Danio rerio: one gene and its partners. The protein of the gene in region 7 purifies or fractionates together with the protein of the main gene of each other region. This does not show direct contact. Links are inferred from orthologs where the notes say so. Each region holds a gene or a part of one and is shown on either strand. Other genes may lie near its edges. The genes, in order: polr2h, polr3g, uxt, polr3c, gpn1, si:ch211-140b10.6 and polr3b.

Evidence for each region.
Region 1: the proteins of polr3b (region 7) and polr2h purify together in Homo sapiens (affinity purification with mass spectrometry; 5 studies listed by BioGRID and IntAct, with this or other methods). This does not show direct contact. The link is inferred for Danio rerio from reciprocal best matches to the Homo sapiens genes POLR3B and POLR2H.
Region 2: the proteins of polr3b (region 7) and polr3g fractionate together in Homo sapiens (co-fractionation; 4 studies listed by BioGRID and IntAct, with this or other methods). This does not show direct contact. The link is inferred for Danio rerio from reciprocal best matches to the Homo sapiens genes POLR3B and POLR3G.
Region 3: the proteins of polr3b (region 7) and uxt purify together in Homo sapiens (affinity purification with mass spectrometry; 3 studies listed by BioGRID and IntAct, counting the BioPlex papers as one, with this or other methods). This does not show direct contact. The link is inferred for Danio rerio from reciprocal best matches to the Homo sapiens genes POLR3B and UXT.
Region 4: the proteins of polr3b (region 7) and polr3c fractionate together in Homo sapiens (co-fractionation; 4 studies listed by BioGRID and IntAct, with this or other methods). This does not show direct contact. The link is inferred for Danio rerio from reciprocal best matches to the Homo sapiens genes POLR3B and POLR3C.
Region 5: the proteins of polr3b (region 7) and gpn1 purify together in Homo sapiens (affinity purification with mass spectrometry; 4 studies listed by BioGRID and IntAct, with this or other methods). This does not show direct contact. The link is inferred for Danio rerio from reciprocal best matches to the Homo sapiens genes POLR3B and GPN1.
Region 6: the proteins of polr3b (region 7) and si:ch211-140b10.6 purify together in Homo sapiens (affinity purification with mass spectrometry; 6 studies listed by BioGRID and IntAct, with this or other methods). This does not show direct contact. The link is inferred for Danio rerio from reciprocal best matches to the Homo sapiens genes POLR3B and POLR1D.

Annotation. Positions count from the first base shown.
Region 1 is NC_133197.1:38,621,830-38,625,763, forward strand, and holds the start of polr2h (DNA-directed RNA polymerases I, II, and III subunit RPABC3), read right to left. Parts: upstream 2,801-3,934; 5' UTR 2,495-2,800; coding exon 2,422-2,494; intron 900-2,421; coding exon 816-899; intron 300-815; coding exon 206-299; intron 1-205. UniProt on the Homo sapiens protein: DNA-dependent RNA polymerase catalyzes the transcription of DNA into RNA using the four ribonucleoside triphosphates as substrates.
Region 2 is NC_133180.1:52,724,112-52,728,200, reverse strand, and holds the start of polr3g (DNA-directed RNA polymerase III subunit RPC7), read right to left. Parts: upstream 2,801-4,089; 5' UTR 2,781-2,800; coding exon 2,670-2,780; intron 2,505-2,669; coding exon 2,375-2,504; intron 1,849-2,374; coding exon 1,780-1,848; intron 942-1,779; coding exon 877-941; intron 809-876; coding exon of another isoform or gene 801-808; coding exon 747-800; intron 657-746; coding exon 531-656; intron 1-530. UniProt on the Homo sapiens protein: DNA-dependent RNA polymerase catalyzes the transcription of DNA into RNA using the four ribonucleoside triphosphates as substrates.
Region 3 is NC_133183.1:10,253,194-10,257,140, reverse strand, and holds the start of uxt (protein UXT), read right to left. Parts: upstream 2,801-3,947; 5' UTR 2,583-2,800; coding exon 2,500-2,582; intron 501-2,499; coding exon 419-500; intron 236-418; coding exon 168-235; intron 76-167; coding exon 1-75. Other genes in the region: zgc:86609 (ER membrane protein complex subunit 3-like), read left to right, coding at 3,444-3,598. UniProt on the Homo sapiens protein: Involved in gene transcription regulation. Acts in concert with the corepressor URI1 to regulate androgen receptor AR-mediated transcription. Together with URI1, associates with chromatin to the NKX3-1 promoter region.
Region 4 is NC_133191.1:14,591,516-14,595,684, reverse strand, and holds the start of polr3c (DNA-directed RNA polymerase III subunit RPC3), read right to left. Parts: upstream 2,801-4,169; 5' UTR 2,708-2,800; intron 1,275-2,707; coding exon 1,128-1,274; intron 1-1,127. Other genes in the region: rnf115a (E3 ubiquitin-protein ligase RNF115), read left to right, coding at 3,385-3,582. UniProt on the Homo sapiens protein: DNA-dependent RNA polymerase catalyzes the transcription of DNA into RNA using the four ribonucleoside triphosphates as substrates.
Region 5 is NC_133192.1:13,860,909-13,864,964, reverse strand, and holds the start of gpn1 (GPN-loop GTPase 1), read right to left. Parts: upstream 2,801-4,056; 5' UTR 2,630-2,800; coding exon 2,597-2,629; intron 2,394-2,596; coding exon 2,300-2,393; intron 1-2,299. UniProt on the Homo sapiens protein: Small GTPase required for proper nuclear import of RNA polymerase II (RNAPII). May act at an RNAP assembly step prior to nuclear import.
Region 6 is NC_133199.1:25,556,467-25,560,487, reverse strand, and holds the start of si:ch211-140b10.6 (protein POLR1D-like), read right to left. Parts: upstream 2,801-4,021; 5' UTR 2,714-2,800; coding exon 2,691-2,713; intron 2,398-2,690; coding exon 2,323-2,397; intron 35-2,322; coding exon 1-34.
Region 7 is NC_133193.1:16,768,184-16,771,683, reverse strand, and holds part of polr3b (DNA-directed RNA polymerase III subunit RPC2), read left to right. Parts: intron 1-161; coding exon 162-237; intron 238-2,242; coding exon 2,243-2,343; intron 2,344-2,438; coding exon 2,439-2,530; intron 2,531-2,651; coding exon 2,652-2,769; intron 2,770-3,500. UniProt on the Homo sapiens protein: Catalytic core component of RNA polymerase III (Pol III), a DNA-dependent RNA polymerase which synthesizes small non-coding RNAs using the four ribonucleoside triphosphates as substrates.

The DNA of each region.
Region 1 (3,934 bases), on a different chromosome or scaffold from region 7:
CAATTCCTCATTGATTAAAAAAAGTTGCCCATCAGTCATGACACTAGAAAAGTCATTTAAACAACTTTAATGATGTCATTAGTAATTAATTTACATTTTTGGGGTTCTATTTCACTATACGAAAGTGTATGTGTAAATAAAGGCCTGATTTGATTTGATCGTAGACATGAAATATCTAAGATTTAGTTTAGGAGTAATGTATGACCTGGACGGCCGGTCGTCTTGAGGATTGTATTCTCCATCGTCCGGCGTCCCGTCCTCATAAAGAGTGCTGGCGATCACCAGTCTGAACTTGTCACCTGACACAATGACATCATCCTCATTAGCATATGACAGCAACACAACATTATCATCACTAGGGCAGCAGGATACCGGAAAAACATGTAAATACTGTTGGAGTGCTGATAAAACCAACACAATCTCACGGCAATTCGTAACTTTTTCATTTAGTGGCTAATTCGTACGAATTCGAACGATCTAATTCATACATTTTAGTACGATTTGCTCATCTCCAAATGACGGTTAGGTTTAGGGGTGGGGTTAGGTGCCACGCCTCCTTTTTTATAATCATACAATTTCGTTCGTCTGAACAAAACACTGGAGAAATTACTTTATTTGTTTGTTTTTTTTAATCATTTATTTATGCAATGACCAAATTAACAGATAAGTAGACAAGTAACAATATGAAAATGTAAAAAGGTAATGGATTATAGGTTGTTTGCACATGACATCATTGATTGAATGTGTGAATATAAAACCAACTTTACCTCTATGCAGCCCAGAGAACAACACAGAGAGCAAGAACAGTGACTTACCAAGATCAACAGGGTAAATCTGGATGTTGACGTCCAGGATGAGGTCCATCTTGAAAGACTCACTTTCACAGTGAAGACGAGACACTGATCATCACAAATACAAAACAACAAATCAAGAGTGTTTAGTGAATTCTAGACTTTTAGGGGGGAAAAATAATAGTGGTTGATTTATAAAAAAAAAAAATAAATAAATAAATAAATAAATAAAGTAATTAAATAAACATCTCTGCCTTCTGATATGCCTTTTACGCAGTTTGTTTTGATTTTATTTTTATTTTAATCACTATATATTATTTAGGTAGCATCAACAAAAAGAATATTAAAGAATATAGATTTAAAAATTCTAAGTACTAAAAACACTTATTATTAATAGTAATAATAATATTGTTTTATTTGCATTTAAATTGACATTTAGACAATGTAAAAATATACTATTAATTTTTATTTAATATATTAATATTTTTTCCATTTAAAGTAAATATTAAATATATATGATCAAGTAAATGTACAAGTTAAATTAAAACTTTAAGCTCTTCAACATCCATTATTAAAGTAGTATTTATAAATATGCAATAAGCTTGATTATTATTGTATGATAAAAAAAAATCTTCAGAGGTAAAGTTGGTTTTATATTCGGATATATTCAGACTTTCTCCTTAATAATATTTTAAGAAAAAGTATTATTTGCCAATACTAAATATAGGGAAATCATGTTAGCAGCAAATGACTATCAAAGTACAACATTGTTCACATTCAGATAAACAGTGTTAATGTTGTTTACAAGTCATACTTGCGTGCTAATTCCGATCGAAAACTCAAAGTAACATGGTCAACAATATAGAGACTGCAAAATGAACGAATGTGCAAATATAAAACCAACTTTACCTCTATATATAAAAACAGTAATTAAATAAACGGCTCTGCCTTCAGATATGCCTTTTACGCAGTATGTTTTGATTTTATTTTTAATTTTGATCACTGCATATTATTTAGGCAGCATCAACAAAAAGAATATTAAAGAGAATATATATTAAAAAAATCTCAAATAATAATTAATATTATTAATAATAGTAATAACAATAAAATTGTTTTATTTGCATTTAAATTGACATTGACAATGTAAAAAAATACATTTTTAATTTAATATATTCATATTTTTCCATTTAAAATAAATATTAAATATATATGATCAAGAAAATGAGCTAAATTAAAAATTAAAAAGTTTTAAGCTCTTCAACTTCCATCATTAAAGTAGTATTAATAAGTATACAATAAGTCTAATTATTATTGTGTGATAAATAATCGAACCAACAAATAAACCTTATTGAGGTAGTTTTATATACGCACATTTAGACTTTCTCCTTAATAATATCATTAAATAAAAGTATAATTTGCAAACTTTAAATAGTGAAGTCATGTATGTTTACATGTGATTTACATGTGAGCATGGAGAACGTTAAATGAAGGAATGTGCGAATATAAACCAACTTTTCCTCAATCTAAATCTTCATGCTGTTTGTAAGTTTTATCAATAACTAACGTTATAAAACACATTGAAGAGACTTTTGTTTTATCCAGTAAATAAATAAGTGAATGAATGAATCACCTCTGTCAAACTTCTTCCCATCAGGATCGATATCCTTCACATCAAAGATATCCTCGAACAGAATCCCAGCCATTTATACTCCAGCAGGATACACTAAATGCTCAGTTTGGTGAATTAAAATCCCGCTGAAAACTAAATTATGTAGAAATCAACACAAAACTCGACGGAGACGCTTCATTCAAACACTCTCCTGCTGAATGCTGTTTTGAATAAGCGCTTTCTGGTGCACTTCCTGCAGATACACTGTGCGTAAACTCGTCCCAGCTCAGAAATATTAATAATAAAACTACTGTAAAATGAAGCAACTTTCTTTTCGTTCAACACAAATATGAAACATGCCGCGAAACAATGTGCTTCGTCTCTGGTCACTTGATTCACTACTACTTCCGGTTCGTGGCGCGCTTTTTACGACAGTAGCGTATTCGATCTTTTTATTTTTTTTTTGCCTGTTTATTTGTTTATTTATTTGTTTGTTTATTTAATAGTATATGGAGGATTAAACCTGCATAAACAATAAGTAAATAAATAAATAAACAAAGAAATACGCAAATAAATAAATAAATAAAAATATACTCAAATTCGTGCATAAATAAAAAAATAAATAAGCAAATAAATTAACTAACTTATTAATAAATAAGTACACAAATTCCTGTATAAATAAAACAATAAATGCATAAATACGCAAATTAATAAATAAATTAATTAATTAATTAATATACACATTTCTGCATAAATAAAATAATAAATTAATTAATACGCAAATAAATGCCCCATAACCATGTTATTAATTTAATTATTAATCTGTCCACATTCTAATCCGTCCTCCATAATAGTGAACATACCTGCATAAATACCAGATTAATGCATATTTTATATATATATATATATATATATATATATATATACAATAATGATAATAATAATAACAACATATTATGCATATACATAATATGTTATTATTATTATTATCATTAATAAAATTATTATTATCATCATTATTATTTTTATTATTATTATCTTTGTCAAAACTGACTTTGTATTTATTAATGTTTTGTGTACATATTTATAATTTAATAATTTTTTAACAATACATATTAAAATACAACTTTGTATGTTATAAATATGTACAGAAATGCATGTAATATTTGTCATGTAAAATTGCTTTAATAAAGGTTAATATGAATATAAAAGTTAGTAAGTAAATATAAAATATATTATAAATATATATAATTTATTTATTTTAGTTTAGTTATTCATAACCATAAATAGTTTAAATGAGAATTTAAATTATGAATAAACATGATTGTTTTAATAAAGCATTTTTTTCATAAATTCTTAGTTTTGTTTAATTGTTATTTGTTTATCAATATTAGCATATATCAATATTAAAACAAGTGCTTTGTCACTATTACTATGTTAATATTACTTTAATAAACGTTACTAAAAAAATAATGCAGCGATTTCCCATTAACCACGAAATTCAAAGATTCGAAGCACAAATTACTACAAATCT
Region 2 (4,089 bases), on a different chromosome or scaffold from region 7:
TACACTGCCCCTCCAGGGCCGACTTTGGACACCCCTGGGATAAGACAATATTTAGTCCATAGGTCTCAAACCCAATAAAGGTTTTTTTCTCAATATTTAAATTTTTACAAACCCTCATATTCCAGATTTAGTCATGAACACCTTCATCCCTCCAGGAATTCAGTTTGAGATGATTTAGTCTATGCAACTACTTGAAAATCTGGAATCTGAGAGATTGTAAAAATCAAAAGATTGAGAAAATAACCTTAAAATTTGACTAAATTATGTGCTTAGCAATATCCATTAAACCAAACTTGATTCTAATATATTTACCATGGGAAATTTACCAAAGAAAAAAATCCTTAATATCAATTTCATATTTTAATATCAATTTTAATATCTTAATGGTATTTGACAGAAAAGTAAAATGTAAGACGTGTCAAGGGTCAAATGTAGCCTTATTTTAGCCAAGTTTTAGCCATGTTTGGATGCCTATTACATGTATTCAACAAACAATAAATAAAAATGCTCCCTGAAATAAAAGCGTATACCTCTTCAAACTCTTCATCATAGTCTCCTTCAATTTCTGCTTCCTCTCCTTCCTCGTCATCCTCTTTCTTTTCTTTCTTCACTTCATCCTCCTCATCAGATTTGACATCTCCCTTCTTCTCAAGTTCCTGGAAATAAAAACAAGCGCAAATGAGATGGCTCCAACCAAAAATATCTGTTTACAGTAAATCGAGAAGATGAAAACAGCACGAGCTCACATCCAACTTATTCAGCACTTCTTCTTTGTCCTTAGTAGAGATTTTTACGGATTTCTTCAGATCTGAAAGTATTTAAGTGTATGAGTCATTCAAAACTGCAGTTTGTTTAGGGATTCTACATCTCGATACAATTACCCCTTTTCTTCTTCTTTATGCTCTTCTGTGGTTTTAGCTCCTTCGGAAGACGATTCCAATCTACAAAGAATATCTACAATTTAGTTGAAATTACTCAGCCTTAGGGCTGGTCGATTTGAAGAAACATTTTAACTATTACCATTAATGACCAAATATTTGATTAATTTGTTTTATTATTTTGTCCTCAAGGTTCACTGACAGGTTTTCTACAGTAAATATGCTCACATATTACAAGTAAGTAATATTTGAATGAAGGGTGTATTACTTGATTTAAAAAATAATAATAATTGAATGAAACACTATCTACTATCTATGATTATTTATTGAACATCAATGTTGAACAACTAAAATTAAAACACACATTGTTTAAAACAAACAGTCACTTTTTTTCTTATAAAAAGTGAAAATAACTTATTTGAAAAACAAAAAAAAATATTTTCAGTGTTTTTCATATAAAAAAGTAGGAAATAAGCAGTATCTCTTCTAAATAAAATAACTTTCATATCCTGTAAATAATATTTTAAACAGGGCATTTCTTGCATCTTCTATAAACAAATATTTTAATGTAAATAATCATTTGAATGTAATGGAAAATATGCCATCAAGGCATCTCTGGCACAGCTTCCAATTATCGTCAACATAGTCCAAAGTATGGCTCAAGAATGGATCCATCGTCCTACTTGACCAGAGATCAGATGTGGCTGCAAAGTGTGGCTAACAGAGCGAGGTCACATGACTCCACACATGACAGGGAAAGTAATTGAAAAAAAAAAACTGACCTATAAAAATTAGATCGTTATAAATCATATATCGATTATAGGTTCTAAAGCTTTCGATTTCAATTACTTTTCCATTAAATCGCCCAGCCCTATTTAGCCTATTTCATTTAAATGAATACCTGGTGTCCAGTCTTCATCTTCAAGTTTCTTTATTTCCCGCGTGTATTTTTCCTTGTACCTCTCCACATCTTTAAATCACACACAATAACATCGTGAAAAATACTGATATGCTTACAATAATAAATATATGAAGAGTTAAGATGCAAAAACCTCTAAATGCCATCTGAAATTTTCATCTAAAATGAGTATTTTTATCAGTCTCCTGTGTGTATGTTCAGTAATATCACTTTTATGGCAAAGAATGAGCCCTTTTCCTGGTCTTGAAAGTAAAATATCTTACAAAATAAAAAAGAAAAAGAGGCTGAGAAAAACGTTCATTTCTGATGGAAATTTCAGACAACACTTTTTTTGCATCCAAACTCTTCATATACAGTAGTTGTGACTCATGGTCAAACTATACCATATCAGTTATACTATTTCACTTAAACATATAGTTAAATGGATTTATTGTTTCTAGGTGAGTTAAAACATAGCATTGCCCCCAGTGCATTAACTCATACTCATCTAATTTTACAATTATCTAAATTATTAGACTCGTTGTAGGAGGCAATAGGTATTGTGTGTTCCTAAAATTAAATAAAAGCTCCATCTCACCTCCCTTTCCTGCATGGTGCTTTATGTTAAAAGGAAGGTCCTTCATTCGTCCTCTCATCTCTTGTTTCAAAGCTCTCATATAATCTTCATCTTCGCCAGCTTTCAAAGGCCCCGGTTTATATTCGATTTGCTGTAAGGTGGAGTCGTGTGTCTTTAAAACTGAACCTTCTGAATAAACACTTTCTGACCTTGCTGAATCAGATTTTTAAAGTTTTGAGAAAGAATGGATGGAAAGAGAAATATCCATTTGGGAAATTGATGGAAGAATAATAACAAATGGTTCAGAATAGCTCACTGGGAAGAGTGGAGCTGGTCCTCTTTGGGTTTCAGGCATGGATCCTCTGGTTAGACCCAGGGACTCTATGTTGAAGGAGAATGCTGCTACACCTCTTCCCTTTCCAGCCATTTCTGATCAGATAAATTTTCTCTAAAATCATTTGGATGAAATAATTTTATATTAGTTTAATAAACAAGCAAATATTCATTCACTCATTTTCTTGTCGGCTTAGTCCATTTATTAACCTGGGGTCACCACAGCGGAATGAACCGCCAACTTATCCAGCATGTTTTTACGCAGCGAATGCCATTCTAGCCAAACCCCTCCCTGGGAAACATCCATACACTCTCATTCCCACTCATACACTACGGACAATTTGACCTACCCAATTCACCTGTACCACATGTCTTTGGACTGTTATGGAAACCTGAGCACCCGGAGGAAACCCACGCGAATGCTGGGAGAACATGCAGACTCCATACTGGAATGCCAACCGACCCAGCTGAGGCTTGAACCAGCGACCTTCTTGCTGTGAGGTGACAGCACTACCTACTGTGCCACTGCGTCGCCCAACAAGCAAATATTATGTAATATAATATAACAGTGAGATACATGTCGTTTTAATTGCATAGTGTCAAGATTTGTTAGCTGGCATCTAAGAACCAATAGCTAGGATGTTGTTGACTACTTTTCAATCCATATTGCTTATACATGCTAAACACTATGAGGATGTGAGGACTACACTGTGATGTCACTGGATGGTGATGTCATGAATAGTGATGCAAAACTGTCAATCAATATAATATGTCCCTTTGTAGTATTTTTGAAGGATGTAAACAAAAACAATGGTCTTAGCATATTTCCTGTTTTACATGTTTAACTTGTATAGCTTCCGAGAATCCAAAAAGAGCCACATATTGATAAATAATGTTATGACAGCGGTTTTAACATTATGATATGGTTGAAGTGCCTCTTTTACAGTTATGAAATAGTTTGATAACAAGCAGGAAATGTTCATAAAATACAGAATGAGATTGTTCAGTAATGCACATAAAATAACATTTCAAATATGTTAATTTAGATTTTCTTGAAAGGTGGATTAAAAAAAATGAATTATTGAACTGCTACATGAATTTGAGCAATCATATGTAATTTATTTTCTTTTAAACTATAAAACTTAATTAAATCAATAGTTTCAAGTAGTGTATTTAATTGTTATGCAACTGTAAATGCAAGAACATAAAACAGGGCATAATGCACTGTTTATATAAAGGATGTATTTATTCATTTATTATTTAATTATTTGTAATTTACAGTCATTTATTGTTATTTATTTTTAACAGTATTTTAAATTATGCATTAAGGAAATCTATGCATAATTGTTCTCGAGACAAGCAACTCTGATGTGTTTGGTTTCCTCTTTTTTTTATTTATTTAG
Region 3 (3,947 bases), on a different chromosome or scaffold from region 7:
TTCAAAGCCTCTGCGTGCGTGAATTCGACAAAGAATCCATATCCGACTGCCACATATATTCTTGATGCATCAGGTCTGGAAAAAAAGAAATGAGATTGCCCTTTCAAAAAATGTTCAACATCTCCACTGACGCACAGCACCACAGACGTCATGCAAACAACACTTACACATGAGCCTGCACATAGAAATTGCAGCCAAGGTCAACATCGGTTTTCAGTTCTTTGCTGCCGCTTTCCTGAAGGTGAATCAAACACAGCCACATATTAAAAGCGCACAAGGCAGAATGAGAGCAACTGAGATGGACAGTAATAGTAAATGTAAAAATTTTTTACACAGCACAAACTATATCTGAAAACAAATAAGTCAGGACATAAGAATAAGCACAAAATATGCAAATACATATGCAAATCTCACATACCTGAATGCTTTGTATTGTGTTCTTCAGCTGCAGGTATTGTGCGATTTTCTCATACACAGCATCTCTTTGCTCCAGCACTTTCCTGGCAGAGCAGAGAGTACTCAAATGAAAAAATACTATAGTAATTTATGGTAAATACTATAGTGTTCTTGAACTATATTTTATTATATTGTGTTCTTCAGCTGCAGGTATTGCCGTATTTTCTCATCCACAGCATCTCTTTTGCTCCACCACTTTCCTGGTGGAGCAAAAAGAACTTACATGAAAAAATACTAATGTATTTATTGTAAATACTATAGTATTTTGAATCATATTATAGTATAGTACTTGAATTAATATTTTGTGGTGACTTTATAGTTATTAACACAACTATAGCATTATAAACAAACAACTAATACTGTGGTTTTCTACAACTACAGGGTTTACTATAGTAAATACTGAAGCACACCATTACAGTTTAACAGTTCACAATATTTATTATATACTTACATATACTAAATAATATAATACATACACTCACCGGCCACTTTAATAGGTACACCTGTCCAACTGCTCGTTAACGAAAGTTTCAGCCAATCACATGACAGCAATTCAATGCATTTAGGCATGCAGACATGGTCAAGAGGATCTGCTGCAGCTCAAACCGAACATCAGAATGGAGAAGAAAGGTGATTTAAGAGGCTTTGAATGTGGCATGGTTGTTGGTGTCAGACGGGCTGGTCTGAGTATTTCAGAAACTGCTGATCTAATGGAATTTTCACGCACAACCATCTCTAGGGTTTACAGAGAATAGTGCAAAGGGAAAAAAAAGTTCTGTGGGTGCAAATGCTTTGTTGATGCCAGAGGTCAGAGGAGAATGGCCAGACTGATTCAAGCTGATAGAAAGGCAACAGTAACTCAAATAACCACTCGTCACAACCGAGGTATGCAGAAGAGCATCTCTGAATGCACAACACATCAAACCTTGAGGCGGATGGGCTTCAGCAGTAAAAGACCACTCTTTGGTGCCACTGCTGTCAGATAAAAAAGCAAACTGAGGCTACAATTCACACAGGCTCACCAAAATTGGACAATAGAAGATTGGAAAAACGTTGTCTGGTCTGATGAGTCTTGATTTCTGCTGCCACATTCAGATGGTAGGGTCAGAATTTGGCATCAACAACATGAAAGCATGGATCCATCCTGCCTTGCATCAACTGTTCAGGCTGGTGGTGATGGTGTAATGGTGTGGGGGATAATTTATTTAACACCACAGCCTACCTGAGTATTGTTGCTGTCAACCCCTAATGACCACAGTGTACCCATCTTCTGATGGCTACTTCCAGCAGGACGCACCATGTCATAAAGCGCAAATCATCTCAGACTGGTTTCTTGAACATGACAATAAGTTCACTGTACTCAAATGGCCTCCACAGTCACCAGACATCAATCCAATAGAGCACCTTTGGGATGTGGTGGAACTGGTGGTTCACATCATGAATGTGCAGCCGATAAATCTGCAGCAACTGCGTGATGCTATCATGTCAATATTGACCAAAATCTCCGAGGAGTATTTCCAGTACCTTGTTGAATCTATGCCACGAAGGATTAAGAAAGTTTTGATGGCAAAAGTGGGTTCGACCCGGGACTTGAAAGGTGTACCTAATAAAGTGGCTGGTGTGTGTATAGTACAATTCACTTTACTATAGTATTGTTTAAAAACACCATTAAAATTACAATAAAGTACTATAGTGTTCCTTATACTGGGTTCCACAGGGTTATTAATTCCTTCATCTTGTCCCAACACAAATCGATCAAGTTAACTTTATTGTTTTTACAAATTTAAGTAAACTGAAATAAAAAAATGTAGTTGTGCTAAAAAAAACTCAAGAATCGTGTTGATTCAGCTCATTTAAACAAGTACTTTGGACAAGCGTACATAATGTTTCCAGAACACATAGTAGCATTTCATAATAGATTAGCTTAAACAATATAGATTAGCATAGAGCTGTATTTGTATGGAATTAACGTACAAGCATGGTAACGTTAATACCATGGCAGCTTCGTGTACGTGCAAAATATCCATATTAAATGATACTTACTGCAGGTCTCGTCTTAATACTTCACTGATGAATGTCTCATACTGCAAGACTTTGTCATTAATAACAGATGTGCCAGAAGTCATGATATGAGATGATAACAGATCGAAGTTTTATTTAATAGCAATCGATGTTTCTAATATTAATGTGCATCAAACATTAACAGCACGTCGCTGGGCTGATGCAGCGATTAAAGCTTACATATGACAGATTAATATATTGTAGTAGCAAATATATGAAGTATCGAGTACGTTAAATGAAGCTAAACCTTCCTTCGGTCTGTCACGTGGCTCCACACTTGTTTACAAGATACGCGGAAACGTCCTCGGTCTAAACCGGAAATGGCGTTAGCTAAACTTTTGTTTTATAGTTTTCCTATAATGAACATCTACGTTTCGTTTTTATTTAATTAATGTTTACCTATTAGAACAATTCTCTCAATAAGACAAATATATTTGTAAATACAATATAATTTAAAGCGTTGACGCAACTTCCAACAAATTCTTTCTCATTCAAAACGTGTTAATTAAAATACCTGATTGCTTCAAAGATTTTATTAGAGCTATATATACCCAATTTCATAAAATATCTGTATTTACTATGTCTGCGAATAAAAACTGTCAAGTTTTAAAGTGACTCGGTACAAAATAGACTCGGTTCAGAGTGTTCATTTCGTGCACAAACCACCTAAACCGGTGTAAGACGATTCGAACAATTCATTTCAAAGATCCGACTCATCAAAACGACTCGTGTTTGAATCGCTACTAGTTCAAAGGTCATACGGCAGCTGCTCAAATGGCGCATGTTCATACAGAAATGTGTCTAAAAGTTATGTAGTTACACCACCGTTTGACTTTTCATCGTAGTATTAATTCCAGAATTGAATATTCATTTAAAAAAACTTTAGAAGTGTCAGTGTTTATAGTTCGATTTCAGTCAGCATAGAAATGGCAGGTCCAGAGCTGCTGCTAGACTCCAGTATTCGCCTTTGGGTTGTTTTGCCCATAGTCTTCATCACATTCTTCGTCGGAGTTTTGCGGCATTACATCACTAAACTCATCCATAATGAGAAGAAAGTGGATCTGCAGCAGGTGTCTGACAGGTGAGAATCAAAAATACAGGTGTTTAGATATAAACAGATACATTAAACAACAATAATCACTATCTGGAGTTCAGAAACAACATCAATCAATCTGTTACGTTCAGAATTAAAATAAAATCAGTTCTGATTGCTGAGTAAGTAGTGTAGAAATATTCCAAGTACCCTTTATATGAATAAATAAACATGTGTAATTAACTATGAGAAATCCTAAGTTCAGAATTTTTATAAAACCTGACTAATTAACAAATCAATTAATTTTGGGGGCTGCACTGATATTTCAGTACAATGTCATCAAATGATTCTTGTTCTACACTGCCCGACAAAAGTCTTGTTGTCAATCCCAGTTGTA
Region 4 (4,169 bases), on a different chromosome or scaffold from region 7:
ATTGAAGTCAGACTGCAGACGGAAATTATTGAGTCTCTACCCAAAGATGAAACCTCAGCATTAGCCCGGCATTGAGCAGTTGGAAACTACTGGAAACTACATGCTACAAAGAATACTTCATCGGTCGTTTGTTAAAGAAAGGATCAGTAAAGACTGCTGATGGACATGCCAGGACATGGATCGGTTTCTTCCTCCATTTCTTAAGTGTAAGTACGTGCGATTAAAGTTGTTGCCTCGTTTACTCTAGCTTGCAAATGTATTTAGTTATGATTTGTTACTTATAACCGCTTGTACTGTATCAGGTTAACTCGCTATATTCTCGTATCGTGTGCAAAGCCACGTTAAAAAATGTGACGCGTGCCGCTTTGTTTGCGGACCTCTGTGGAGGAGGGTAATGTGTGTGTGTGTGTGCGCGTTGTCGTCCGGAGGAGGATTATGTGTGTGTGTGTGTGTGTGTGTGTGTGTGTGTGTGTGTGTGTGTGTGTGTGTGTGTGTGTGTGTGTGTGTGTGAAAAGAGCAGAGTGTGACAAGCTAGGAGATCTCCTCGCCAATTCTTGGAGTTTTTGCTCAATAAAATAGTTAGTCGTTGGTATTTTCAAGTCCATCGCCTGTATTTACATTCACCCACTGGCAGCTAAAATCCACACCTTACAATATGAAGTGTGTATGCACTGTGACTACTTCTATATTGTTGATTAGCTGCTGGGCATTTCACTGTCTCTCGCTGAAGGTAGTCAGTGTCGACCAATCGCAACAGACTGTCATCGGTCCAATCAGCGCAGATTAGTTTCAAGCTAAGGAGGGGTTTGGGAACAAATGAATCACTGGACGATTCATATGGTAGTCGCTGGGATAATTATGTAAAAATAAATGCAAATTATAAGACCATGAAAGTGTTTTTTGACCTTGCATGCATATTAGACTGTTGTTGGAGACCCTTACAGCCCTATTTCATGTATAATATGGGCTCTTAAAAAATATAAACATTTCAGATTCCAATTTTTTTTTTTAATAGTTTTATTCTGTTTGGATTTTGGAAACAATGGATATCCTATCCTAACAAACCACACATCCAAGAGAATCTTATTTTTTAAGCTATCAAAGAAAGCTTTAAATAGTGACATTACCAGGTCAAGAGCCAGTTTGGTCTCATGGGCAAGAGCTCTCAAGGTCAGAACTCCATTGCGGATGAGATGAGTGCCCACATTTTCCACCACATCACCAAAGTGCTCCTGCAGCAACAGCCCACACAGACGCACCTCCTGTGCTGTCATCTGTAGGACAGAGAGCAACAATCAAATCACAATCTGTAGTCAATTTATCTATGAATAATGTATAATTCTTTTTAGACATGTCAACTTGCAAACTAGTGTTGGTTGGTTTTTTTGCTCTAATTGCACAATTAGTTTTTTTCCAGCCTATTCTTGTTTCAGACTTGCACACAAAACGCATTGCAATCAATTTCCAAAATGTCACTTGTGGGAAAATATTACAAAGCCTGGGATTTTAACAGAGACCAGAGATGCTGAGAATGGATAACAAGACAGAACAGCACACAATATGCTGAACCAGGCAAAGTAAGATTTTTGTAAGGATCTCAGATTTTTGTTCTTTATTAAAAACACTTTACAAATGTACAAACCTTGTCATTGTCCTCAGCCAAATTGAACGTTCAGGTTTAATAATTTTGTGATGCTAAAAACTGTTATTTAGAAAAAAGAAAAACTTCAGAAATAGCAAGTTTAAGTTGCTATCATACACGTAAACTGATTAAAAACATGAAATTATAAAGTCTACAAATAATTACTACAAATATATATTACAAATACTTTTACAATTGTCCCCATGTTTCTGTCAGTCCTGTCACATTTGCCTTAAATTTAACATAAAATGTGTGCTATACACCTTTAAGGCTATGACTTGGAAGTGGCATCATTTGATGGGGAAGCAGACATCAAGGATACATTCTATCATTAAACTGTTTTATTTTTTATTTTAATTATTTATTTATTTATTTATTTTTTTGAGGAAGACAAGCTTAAAGGTCAGGCCCTGTCATTTATTTTATAAATAAAAATGTATGTTTCTGGTAGAATGTCTCATATATTTGGAAATCATTAAATCTAATTTGTACAGAGCACCTTTGTATATGCCTCATATGTAGTTTTCTATAGGTCAGCAACTAAAAAGGCAAATCAAATATTGTTCATGCACTTGATGTTCTTGTTCAGTCACTTAATGTAATCATTTTTCAATGTGTGCATACAGTTGTCAACATTTAGTGAATCAACTTTGATGAATATGTTGACTAATATGTTATCAGTTATTAATGTTTACATACATGATTTCGTGTTATTTATGGTCTACCCACATTTCCTTATTAATAAAACTGCTCACAATTTTAATATTACAGTTTTCCTCCTTAATCTGTAACGTTTACCTGTAACCATCAAAAATACATGTAAAGTCTTGTAACTATACATGGAGTTACTAGAAACACAAGCTACACAAGCTATAACTAAAAGCATCAGTTTAAAAACAAAACATTTTGTCAACAAAGTGCAAAAGTAAACATTCATATTTGCGTTTTGACTGGCTACTAACACTGGATTAGCGCAGAATTAGTTGTTGTCTGGCCTTTCCACAAAGCAAACATCTCACAAAGGCTAAACAAAGCACAGATGCACATGCTTAAAGACAAACTTACCTCTAAAAAGTAAGTTATCTAGATATCCGTATGTGTTATTTAGATGAGTTCACACTTTTTGATCTCACGTGTGTTGTCCAGACGGTGTGCAACGACAAGCACTGACGAATTTCCGTGGTTTGATCACGTGGAGGCGGAGCTCTGGTGTGTGAAGCTTGAGTGAATCGCTATCATGAACGGAATCTTTTTGCGGATCAAAAGAACCGAATGAATAATGAAAAATGAATCACTGTTTACTCACACTCGGGTGTTTTTTATGAAATTACTTTTTTTTATTTGAATAAACAAAAGGGTATTTTGAAAAAAAAAATGTTAGGAAATATCAGTTTCAGGAAAAAATACTATTTAAGTAGTTTTTGTTTTGTTTGTCAGAAGTCAAACAGGTTTGTAGGTAGAAGAATATTTTTTTGGAGTGAACTACAATTATCAGAGTAAAGTTCAATTAGGTGAATTACATGCTAACATATAATATTAGACTGACATAATAGCATATATAATAATATGTAATGGTCTTTTTTTGTTTTAATTTTACATTGTTCTCGAATAAAGCCCTCTCTGATCCCTGTAATACTAGTAAAACGCACACTTCACACAGCCTTATGTAAATAATTTTGACTCAGTATGTTGTTTTGATCAGCTCAGTCAAACGACTCCCCTGAGTGAGTCGACTCGCCTCAATGACTCGCACTACTGAGTGCTCATTGCCAAAGCACCTCCCTCTGCAGTGGGCGGACCGACGCTCGGCCAGCGCTGCTGCTGCTGTTGCTGTTTGGGACACAGGCAGTCTCACAGAAAACATGGCGGAGGCTGCTGCGGTCCCTCCGCATCGCTTCTTCTGTCACTGTTGTAAGGGTGAAGTGAGTCCCAAACTACCGGTGAGTCCGTGTCGCTGGTAGCGCGCAGCCGGCTCAAGTTAATGTCTTTCTGTAGTTCTGCTGTCGCTCTCGCAGGTTCCGCTGTTGTGCTAAAGTTAGCATGTTAGCAGTGTATCAGCCTGATGTGGGCGAAAGGCCTGTCGTGGTTTGTTGTTTGTGTATAAACACTAAAAAACACATGTATTTACCGATGACCGGTTTTATTAGATGTTAGACAGGTGCTTGTTAACGTAACATAAGCGGAAACCAACAGGTTTTGTGTTTAGCACCAATGCTACACTCATTTCTTGTGTTTTTGTACTGTAAATGATGACTTTTTCACATTTCACGACATGTTCAGTTTTGATAAGTGTTCAGTTATTAATGTCAGCTTTTAGAAACTTTCAGAAATGTCCTTAAATCACATCGACACTGAACTCTTCTCAGAAGTGAAACCGGAGTGCTAATGTTTCTGTTTCTGTTTTACTTGTTTATAATGTCGCATTTGCCGTAAATTATATCACAAATTCTGCAATGAACGTCAACATTTAGCACTTGGTGGTCAGTGTGTCAGTAGGTCATTAGATTGTCCCGGTGAGGATGAGTAG
Region 5 (4,056 bases), on a different chromosome or scaffold from region 7:
ATTTTCAGAATATCTTGTTTTGGGTTCAACAGTAGAAATTGAGTACATGTTAGGAAATGTTAACGACTATCCCTTAAATTGGCAAAAACAACCCAGAGTTATTAATTTTTTGCCGTTCCATTGGCTGATCTCAAATCCCGAAAGAAAATGTGGTGCTACATGCTGCAAAAGATTAAATATAATCTAAATGTTACATCAAAAACCTTCATAGAGGCTGAGGTGGAACTGGCTCATTTTAAAATTTCTGGCCTCGCCACTGCATCAAAAACAGTTCTGGCTTAACAGTGCTGCAATTTTTTTGGATGTTAAAATGTTCTCAAAACTTCAACAATAGCTCATTAAGTCCAACAATATCATAACTCATTAACCTAATCCATATCATTTTCCATATATTAATAAAGTCAGCGTGAACCAGAAGTTCCTGCAGATTCTGATCCACTTTTTCCAACTGAAAAAATATAGGATATTTTAGGACATGCAGACGCTTGAGTGGAAATATGTAGGAGACTCGCTGCTTTGGTCAAAATCGAGGGATCATAAGTATGTCCGTATAAGCTTCCCTTGTTCACTTGAATTGAAACACACTTTAAAATGAGGATTCCCCCAAGGGAACAAGGGAAGGGAAGTCTGTGAGTGTGTGCCTAATGACCCTTTCACATTGAGTGGTTAGGTGCGGTATAGTATTATATACCTTTTTTTTGTGCATTTCCACTGTCAGAGGTATCAAAACAAAAACAAGCCTTGCTTTCTACATGCTTTTGGACGACCTCGTGAACAGTAATGGAAGACACAGCAGATTCTGTTCTTGCTTCTTGGCATGTGGCTGTCACAAAAGGATGGCAAGCTTTGTTTTTGTTTAAGCTCGGGTATATGCATTATTATTACTTTGTAGTATCTGAGCTGTGTATTTAAAAATGCCTCTTCTTGTGTTTTCATTCTCCTGGCTTGTGGCAAGTGCTAGTAAACCAATAGCATTTGGCTGCACTCTGGCTTCCCCCTTTAAGTGGTGGGCACGGTTAGTTTTTTTGGTACCTTTGACAGTGGCCGTTTCTCAATATGCGTTCTTCAGCGGTCTTGTGTCCTTGTGTTACGTCATCATCGACTGCCAAAGTTCAGTTCCAAAACTCAAGACCTCAAGACCAGAGGACGAGTGAAAGTTTGTAGATGTGTTCTTGGTATCGATGCAGACTTGAGCACTGACCTCGCTCTAGAAGTCCCAGAAGTCATAGTGACTGAAGGTGGGAAGTGCAGCATTTTATATAGATTTATTATTAAAGTTCAGAGAACTTATTTATCTCAGGAGTTTCCCTAAATGAGACGGTGAAAGTAAGCATTAACATTAAAATCTTAATAAAGGCGTAAACACATTAAGGGTGTTTATTTGCTGAAATTCGTATTAAAATCTGTTTTATTTGTATTGTGTAATGTATGCTTGTAAGGTCTATATTGTGAAAAGGGGAAAAACAATAAATCGTTGTTTGAATGCTGTAATGTTTAAATAATTTCCAATAAAAATGCATGAAGGTCATGAGACCATCAGGAAGAACACAGCATCTCATTTCTTACAGGACATGTTCCGTGTTCTCGTGGTCTCCTGAGTTCGTTCTTCTGAGGTGACCTGGCAAGACCAGTCTTCACTAGAACGCAAGTCTGTTCTCTGCGTTCTTGAAATTGAGAAATAGCCAATGAAAATGAACAAAAAAAGCACTGTACCAAACCATAACACTCAGTGGAATCTGGCCAAAAGGTGACCCATACAGAACCGAACTACACCACTCAGTGGAAATGGGCCAAAAGGTGATGGGTACAGAATCATAACACTCAGTGGAAACAAGGCATAAAAGTGGAGTGGAAGGCAGCCCAGGATATGATCCATGTCACTAGCTAAAACTGCTTATTTCTCTAGATTTGACCATTCTTTTAAAACATTTGGGCACAATTTTGTAAAAAATAGTAAAAATTCAGCAAAATACAAAACATTGTTCTAGTATTTTTTTATTTTAAAATATCGTACGTCTTGTCACATTAAACACGTGCACACTAGAATATTTTGTGTATTATTTAGTTTTTATTAAAAGTGCTAAACACACACAAAAACAACGTGATTATGCATGTTGACAATAATTCAACAGCTTTTATCAAATTAGTCTGGCGTTTCTTAAAACAAAACAAAAAAGTAAACAATGTACTAATCCTGTCATCGTTGGTCTCTGTGAGTGATTTTCGCGCCACCTGCTCTGGATCAACAAACAGCAGCGTTTAGTTATATAGAAATACGGGCAACGTTAATGTGACTTACCGATGTTGGCAGGAAAAGGGACCTCGTGAACAGCAGGATCTAAATTGATGACATATGGAGGAGTTTTCTTGGAGTGCAGGTAAGCTGTGAGCCTCTGGAGAAAAAAAAAAGAAATGACTTGAAATTTGTTAAAATCTGACTCGAGTTAATGCGTAGTATTGGAGTTGGGCGACTGTCAGTTTATCTCATCACAATTATCACACATAACATTGGCAGAATCGTAATCTAGTCAAGTGAATGTTAAATCATTATAATTTAAGACATCTGTTATCACCATCGTATCGCTGTCAGTCTTACCTGCACAAAAGTAGTTTTTCCTGACCCTGCCATGCCCAGAACTATGAGACACACCGGTTTCGGTTCTGTACTGTGTTCGTTAGACGAACTCTGGCTCGGTGTCGGTTCATCATCTTGATCTCTATTTTTAATGTTATCACTTTCACATGATGCTCCATCGTTGTTTCCTGCTGCTGCTGTCGCCATGCTGCTACACTTACCGTCAAGTAATGTTTACTGACGTAAAGAGACGAAAAACATTCTGGCGTAGCGACTTATGACCACTAGAGAGCAGCAGAGTCAATAGGATTTGTTTGCTCTTTATAAAACGTGACTAAATGACAAAATGATCAGCAAATTTATAAATATAACAGGGGGGTTCGAGTGGTTCGAACGTAAATGTGTTTCCCAGTGATGGGTTGCAGCTGGAAGGGCATCCACTGCGTAAAACGTTCATTCCGCTGTGGTAACCGCAGATTAATAAAGGGACTAAGCCGATAAGAAAATTAATGAATTCATAACAATTATCAATATCCATATATGTCAGCATTTTGCAGTAATGTGGAAAAATACAATTGTAAATTTACAGCACAGAAATTATTGTGTGTGTGTGTGTGTGTGTGTGTGTGTCTTTACTTTAAATGGGTGTGAGCATTTCCCCTGCAAAAAAGCGACAATAATCCAATAATTAAACTAACACAACCCAGCAGACACACAGCATCATAAGACGTAAATATTAGGTTAGATTTAGGTCGCCAGCGTTCAAGGACAATGCTATTTTGACCTCCAATAATGACGTGAAATGTTGATATTTTGTTTATTTTAGGTTGTGTTGGAAAGTGACCAAAATCCAACGTCGAGCCAACATCTTAAACCAACGCCATATTGGCGTCAAATATTAACATTTATCCCTCAGGTATGGCAACCAAAATCCAACATAGACGTCACATAACGTCCACACAACGTCATGTAACATCATTAGACGTTAATGTTTTGTTGTTTTTAGGTTGCGTTAGAAAGTTAGCAAAATCCAATGTCGGCCCGATGCTGAACATTGATGTGAAAATATTATCTAAGTTAGTTAAAAAAAATAAAAAATAAAATAATAGTAATAATAATAAGCAAATGTAAATGCATGTAATGCATTATTTGTCTTCATTTATCTATGCACATTTAGAAGAGTAATAAAAGTGTATTTGTCATAAAATATTTAGTTTTACTTATGACCTCAAAAATATGACCTCAAATGTTTCTTTACAAGAATTATCTACCTAGTATTATTAAATAAGTAAACATATGTGTCGTATGCATTTTCTCTGTTACTGCTTTTGTCGTTAACTGAGAGACCTGAGTCAGATTAAAAAGCATTTACTGGCACCGTTTGTATATACCAAAAATAGCTCTTATATCTATCTTGTCTGCATCAACACAAACACTGACGACTTGTGTTTTTTTCCATACGGCTCTGCTCTTCTTCATGG
Region 6 (4,021 bases), on a different chromosome or scaffold from region 7:
GCGCTTGTTTGTGCTTCCCAGTGGACATTTCATCCTAAAACAAAACGGCAATTTAAGCAGCTTTAGGAGACATATATAGTAGTTAATTACACACATACATACATACATACATACATACATACATTCCATAGATATATACACTATCGCATATGGTTCCTGAGCATGCGTCAATTGCGCCGCCACATTTGTACAGTGCTCCCAGGACATCATTCAACTGCACTAATCAAGACTAAAGCCAATGTGAAGATGCTGGACTTTAGCACTGCTTACGGGTGTAGTAACAAGCAAACAAAGAAAACCAAGCACAAAGGCAGAACATTTCATAGGTAAGATTTCGTTTTTTATGTTTTTGTATGTTACAAACTGGCACTCAATTCTAGACTTATGCTAGTTTTGTTGAATAAAATGAGATAACAATGTAAATGAAATATAACAAGAAGGTGCTGCTGTGAAAACTTGTATTATTGTCAACTAAGTGATCAAGTCCTTCTTAACAGAGATTCATTCACAAACGAATCCCTCCCTCCGTTGGAATGAAAAGTGAAAGCAGGAGAGGGGGTGTGTTTAAGGACATGAATTAGATCAAATTAAACAGGGAGGGTAGATAATACATTTCCATGCACACAATCACACACTCTTTGCCAGGAATGCCCATGCAATCATTTATCCATCAATATAGAAAAGTGATGTAAACTTATAATTTTTGTAATTTCATAAAATATTTGCATACTGACCAATGGAAAACCCCCCGATCGTAAATAAATGTGTATATGTGTATATATGGATGGCCAGTCCTCCGCTGCACCTTGAACCCACATTCATTTTAAAGAAGCGCTACCCTGTACTAAAATGGCGACTCTATCGACAAATTCCTTTCAATAGATGAAAAAAGCGTAGGCAACATCTAATGTAAATGTCTATACATACATACATACTGTACATACATCTTTTGATTTGGAGGACGATAACCAACATTTTAAACATAAATCGCGTAACCTTCACAGAGCAAATTAGCATGCAACTTGACTGTTGCATAAAAATAATAGGTTAAATGACAGAACTGTATTTAATTAACAAACAAGTTAAATACATATATTTTAATAAAATGAAAAGGAAAATGAAAGAACTAAGGACTGAAGCCAGCTCAAATGTTCTACAATTATTAGTCATTTGACACTTTTGTTACCGCACTCCCACAAGATTCTCCCGTAAAAACACCAGTAAAAACGATTACACCCAATTAAAAATAAATATTTCTTCTAGCCATTTTCCAATGAATACAGCCAATCATCTTTGGTTTATTTAAACAGAACAGTTATATGGTTCAGTCATTTAACACCTTCGAGGATAGAAAATAATACACTTACAATCAAACAAGTTTTTGCAAAAAAAAAAAAAAAAAAGTATTTTTCCCGTTTATTAATATATTATTTAATATTTTCCCCCAGTATATTAATTAAGGTGTACTGATTTTTGCACTGTGATCTTAAATAGTTTTTTTTAATTATAAGCTTGTCATAATATCTATTTTTTCTTGTATGATATATTGCACCAACATATATTATGATGAACAATATTGTCATTTTGAGACCATTTTATGCCACTTATTATATAATGCCAAAATGACAATATAATAACATCAAAATGCAAGTACACTCTTCTAAAGACCACATAATATTTTATTCTTAAGGATGTTTCATTTAATTTATAGTCATTTTAACTTTAATAATGAGGCAGGGGAATCAGCATGTGAAAACACATATCCTGAATAAATAGTAGTAAAAAGTGCAATGTAAAAAGTAACAGAGGCTGCAAGATCTGCTACCAGATCTATTTTCAGTTGTCAGACACCTGCATGAAAATATACTACAGTAACATAAAGAGGTTGCACCATCAGCTAAAATGTTGCTAGAATTGACTTTTATATATGGGCAATATATATTACATCACCAAAAATGATAGATGTCATGTCAATGTGTTGTGCGATAAGTCGATATATTGATTATTGTGAAAAGCATATTTGATTAGTCACAGTTTTGGCTTTTGTACCTTAAAATCTAAAGAGTTTGTGCAAAATGCATTACTGTAAAGCATTTTATACTACATATTAATTTAAAATACAGATCTTTAAGGGGTGTACTCAGTACTGTATATATACATACACAGGTTTAAGTTCACATCCGAAAACCAAAGTTACACCCTTGTGTGTGTGCGCGTGTGTGTAAAAGAGTGGGGGCAATAGTGGTTACTAATAATAGAAAAAGACTTCAAATTGGTCACTTTAAATATCTGTAATTTATCAATTTAGTGATCCAAACTTACCATCCAGCAGGACCCATTGTCTCGACACGGGCTTTTGCTCTGTTCGCTTCTTTAAGGAGCTCCTCCACTGCTTTTCTGGGGAAATTATTTACAGTGAGACATTTGACGACAGAAACGGGTTAATTTATGTATTACCGTGACCCCAAATTAAATAGCACGTTTAAATCTCTGACGGTGCAAAATAGACTTTTCTAGGATACCGAAATGTTTGCTATATAACAAAAGTATGGTGCTTCGTCTCAGGTTTTGGTTTACACAAATTTACTGACCAATTTGCACGAAGCCGAGGGCGTTAGCATATTCTGCATCGTAAACTAGTCCAATAAACTGGTCAAAAGGGGGAAAATTGACATTTAGAAATATCATACCTTTCCAGTTCACTGTCTTCCATGATCTAATTAACCTTAAACCGCAGTCACTGTTAATTTATAGCTTGTTCCAGCTTGCTAACCAGTAACGTTAGTGTTTACTATTCTCGAGGACCCAATTTAGGACCCCGGTCCGCTTGACCATCTTAGTTTTGACTAAATTTGCGGAAGTGAGCAGACAGTAAAATTCAAACTAAAAATGTAGAAACTATCTGCACTTGGAACAAAAAGTACGTACATTTAAACAGTCTATTTTAGTTTATTATTTGACTTAATAATAGGTTTTACGATCGCACTTTAATCAGGCATCTCGATGGTCACAACTGATATTCGACTAACAGCGCCGTCTGCAGCCTGTCAAACGAACGGTAGTGAAAAAATCAGAGTCATTTCATCAAATGGTTCATTTGAACAGCAGCTCTGAATGGAACAGTTCAACATGTTCCGACGGTTCTTTACGTCATTACATGATCCCAAAGCGCATTACATGACATAATATCTTTACAGTCTTTTTATTTATTTAACTTATGTAATTTATATTTTAGTTTATTTTATGTTATAGGTTACATTTGTAGTTTTGGATGTCATGTTTAAATTGTATATTTGCTGCTGTTTAATAATAATAAAAAAATAATAAATAAAATAATAAATAAATCAATTAATCTCTTTTTATCTTATCTAAATACATGAATGTTGACAATACTTGCACACTTATCACATCTTTTCTATAACTGTGATGTCTCTTACATTTTAGTATGATGTTAGTGACGTGTTATTTGGGCAAATACATGTTAAAAGATTGTATTTGCTCTTTACACACACACACACGCACGCACGCACGCACGCACGCACACACACACACACACACACACACACACACTCATTAGAGTATGTTGGTATGTTGTTAATTTTTACATGCTACAAGGTTAATATTTTATTCATAAACAGAAGTTTGCGAAGTGTATACCAAAATGCTATTAATTTTTATTAGAAATGGAAACTTTGAAAAAGTTTCTAATGCAAATTAATAACAAAAAAATGACTTGATGTTAGATTTCATGAAGTTTTTTTTTCTGGTACTGATCCCTCACTGTAGTCTGATTGTGTGCCAATCTTTTTTTTTTATTACTAGTTATATTTAATTTAATATTTTTACTTGTTATGTTTTTGTTTTAATATTATTTCTGGATGTGGCTTTTTGCACTTATTGTAATGGTCTTGGATATAGTTTGTGTCTGAATTTTTATTAATACATAGTGTTATGTTTTAATGCTTATAATTAAAAAAAACTTGATCAAATATCTTAATTCTAAGTCACTTGTGAGCAATAA
Region 7 (3,500 bases):
TTAAGTTTATTTATTGCTGTATTGTTTCAATATATATTTTTTATTGTTTTAAATTTTGTCTTTACATTTTAGATTAATATTTATTTTACATCAAATTAGTTTCCTTATTTATTCACAACATTATTTTTGTATGTGAGAATTTACTTTTCATCCATCCCTAGATATCTCAATATCTACGTTGGGATGCCTGATGTAGAAGAAAGCTTTAATGTAACCAGACCAGTGTCTCCACATGAGGTAACATCTTTGTTGATCTGTGCCAAAATTTACTAATATTATAGGTGAAACGCTTTATCTGTCAATTTTAAACTTTTTCATAAGGTATGTTTTCAGTGTGATGGAAAAGAAAACATCCAGAATACACTTAAATGGTATTTTGTCACACTTTATCAATTTTACATAAACAAAATACATTTTAAATACAATTAATATTTAAAAATGCCGTTTCTCAAAATTAGTATTTTCCTCCTGCACTGAGCCACTTTAATTAATAACTATATTCTGAAGGTTTTTACAGAGGGATTTGTTCATAAATAATTTGGCTTATTATGTGTTTTGTTTGACCGCAAAATTGTGTAAATAATTATTTTTCTCTCAAAAATTCCCTCTATTAAAAACATTTGGCTCCAACTGAAAGCAATTTGATTCTGACTTCATCCAGTTTTCAGATGTTGGTGATTTGATTTTAATTTGATTCATTTATTTTGAACAGTATAATCCACTCTTAAAAACAATAGTTCAAGCACAAATACATTACATCATAATTAACAGAACATCTTCATATGAGCAATTCCATGTAGATGTCAACCTTGCCATGAAAAAAAGTTTTTACCAAAATAATGAAATCACTTCTACATATTTATGTGTAGGCAAGTATTTTACAGTTTAAAAATGCTCAAAAATGTCTTTGAAAATGTTTTCAAACAAATATTTTTGAATTACCAAAGTCACACAAGTGGGAATTTTACATCGGCCACATCCATAACGGTGAGATGTCAAATCCATAGCCAAGCTTTTCCCTCATAAATTTAAACTTTTAAAATAAATAAATGATTTTTGTTTTATAGTAAACAACTCTTATCTTTTGATTAGCATAGTTTCTTTTGGGCTGTGCAGTTTAATTCACACAATTTCTACAAAGTGTATTATTAAGAGTTCAATGCAAAACTCTCTAAAGTGCTGTCTGAAATTTCCACAAAAATGTAGCTTTTTTCAGCCTCCTATGTTTATTAGCACTTTAAAGACCATGAATAGAATTTGTTTCTTGTCATAAAAGGGAAATTACTGAACCTACACGCAGGAGCCTGATAAAAATGCTCATTTTTAAAAAAAATTTTAGATGGCATTTAGAGGTTTTTGCATCTAAACTCTTCATATACTATCTATGTAAATTTATATGGCCAATTTGCATAATTAAAAAACATTTTATAAAACATGATGCAAAATAATCCTTGTAATTCGTAATATAAACATTCAACTAGGGGAAAAGGGTAACAACTAGGGCTAAACGATATCGTTTGAGCATCGATATTGCAATGGGTGTATCTGCAAGAGTCGCATTGCATTATTTGATTATTGATTAAAGGATAAAGATATTATTGTATAAAGGTATTTATACAATGTTAACCATGTCACTTAACATTTGGTTGTTCAGGTTTTATGTTTTAATACTGTTAGACTCCCCCAAAAAACCATAAAGCACCTTTTTTTCACATTTATGTTTGCTCTGTCATTTTTAAATGTGCTTGTAATATATTGTTTTTAAGATGATGGACTGCATAGAAAAAGCCTTGATCACCCTAGTCCAGGGGTACCCAAACTCTGTCCTGAAGGGCTGGTGTCCTGCATATTTTAGTTCCAGTCCCTATTAAACACACTTGAACCAGCTAATCAAGCTCTTTCTAGGTATACAAAAACATCCAGGCAGGTGTGTTGAAGGAAGTTGGAGCTAAACTATGCAGGACATCTGCCCTCCAGGACAGAGTTGGCACCCCTGCCATAGTTGATCTAATTAATGAAATCTTTCCTAATAGAGCTAATCAAATCATCTGGTGAAAATATGTTCATACTGCAATATATATTGCAGCAAAACAAAATATTCGCAATGTCAGATTTTTTCAAAAGCATGCAGCCCTTGTAACAACACCTGTAGTTTCTTGCCTTGAGACAAACTTTAATAAAGCAAAAAAATAGGATTATACTGTAACATTTGTTTAATATGATTTTGCTTATGGATCACTAGTGTCGTCTGAGAGATATGACCTATTCAGCCCCCATCACTGTGGATATAGAGTACACCCGAGGCAGTCAGAGAATCATCCGCAACGCTCTCCCCATTGGAAGGTACTACATCTGGCCTAAATCTTTGCGTACACCTCTTAATATGCATCTACTTTTCCCTTGCAACTTCAAATGCTCTTTGTCTCCTTGTTTAATAGGATGCCAATAATGCTGCGAAGCTCCAACTGTGTCTTGACAGGAAAGACCCCAATGGAGTTCTCCAAGCTCAACGAATGTCCCCTGGATCCAGGTAGATTATTTATGAAGACCTTAATGATATTTCACTGTTTATATGCCATAGTATAATGCAGAAAATCCCCTCTGAAGGCCATATGGGGTATACGTATGATACTGTGTTTGTCTGTGTGCAGGTGGTTATTTCATTGTGAAAGGGCAAGAAAAGGTCATTCTCATTCAGGAGCAGTTATCCAAGAACCGCATCATTGTGGATCAAGATCGCAAAGGGACCGTAGGAGCGTCAGTCACCAGGTGCTGGGATTTGCTCGTCTGCGTATTTAGCGTTCGCAATAATAAAGTTGATTTAAATTGGTGCTGTTATGCTATGTTTGGATGCTAACTTTTATGTATTGTGTAGCTGAATGTGAAATGAAAAGATAATCGAACTGTTGTCTCCAAAACCAATTGCTGGTTTACTGAATTGTTATGAAGAATGTTAATGTAGGTTTGTAACAAATTAGCATTCTACCCATTAAGCTTACGATGGCTCTGATATTTTTGTAATAATTTCTGAAGATATTATCGTGGTATATGGTATGTTTACAATTTTGAGAAGCTAAATAGGGGAATTTTAAAGGGATAGTTCACTCAAAAAATAAAAATGTTAATAATTTAGACACTTTTTGTGCTAAACACAAAGTAGGATGTTTGAAAGAAGGTCAAACAGGATTTATCATCCACACACTGCCATAGTAATTATTTTTCTAACTATGGGGGTAAATTGGTTGAGAGATCTATTGATTACTTGACATTCTTTCATATATCTTCCAAAGATCTTTCTTTGAGTTGCAGAACAAAGACATTTATATAGGTGGGAACATCCTGAAGGTAAATAAATGATCTTTTTTTGGTGAACTGTTCCTTTGAGAGATGTAATAACAAAAACATCTTTACATTGTTGCATATTTCTTTATTGTATGTACATTTTCAGAGTTAGCTAAAGTTTGAAATGCAAATAGGATTATAAAGTACAGTAGTTAACA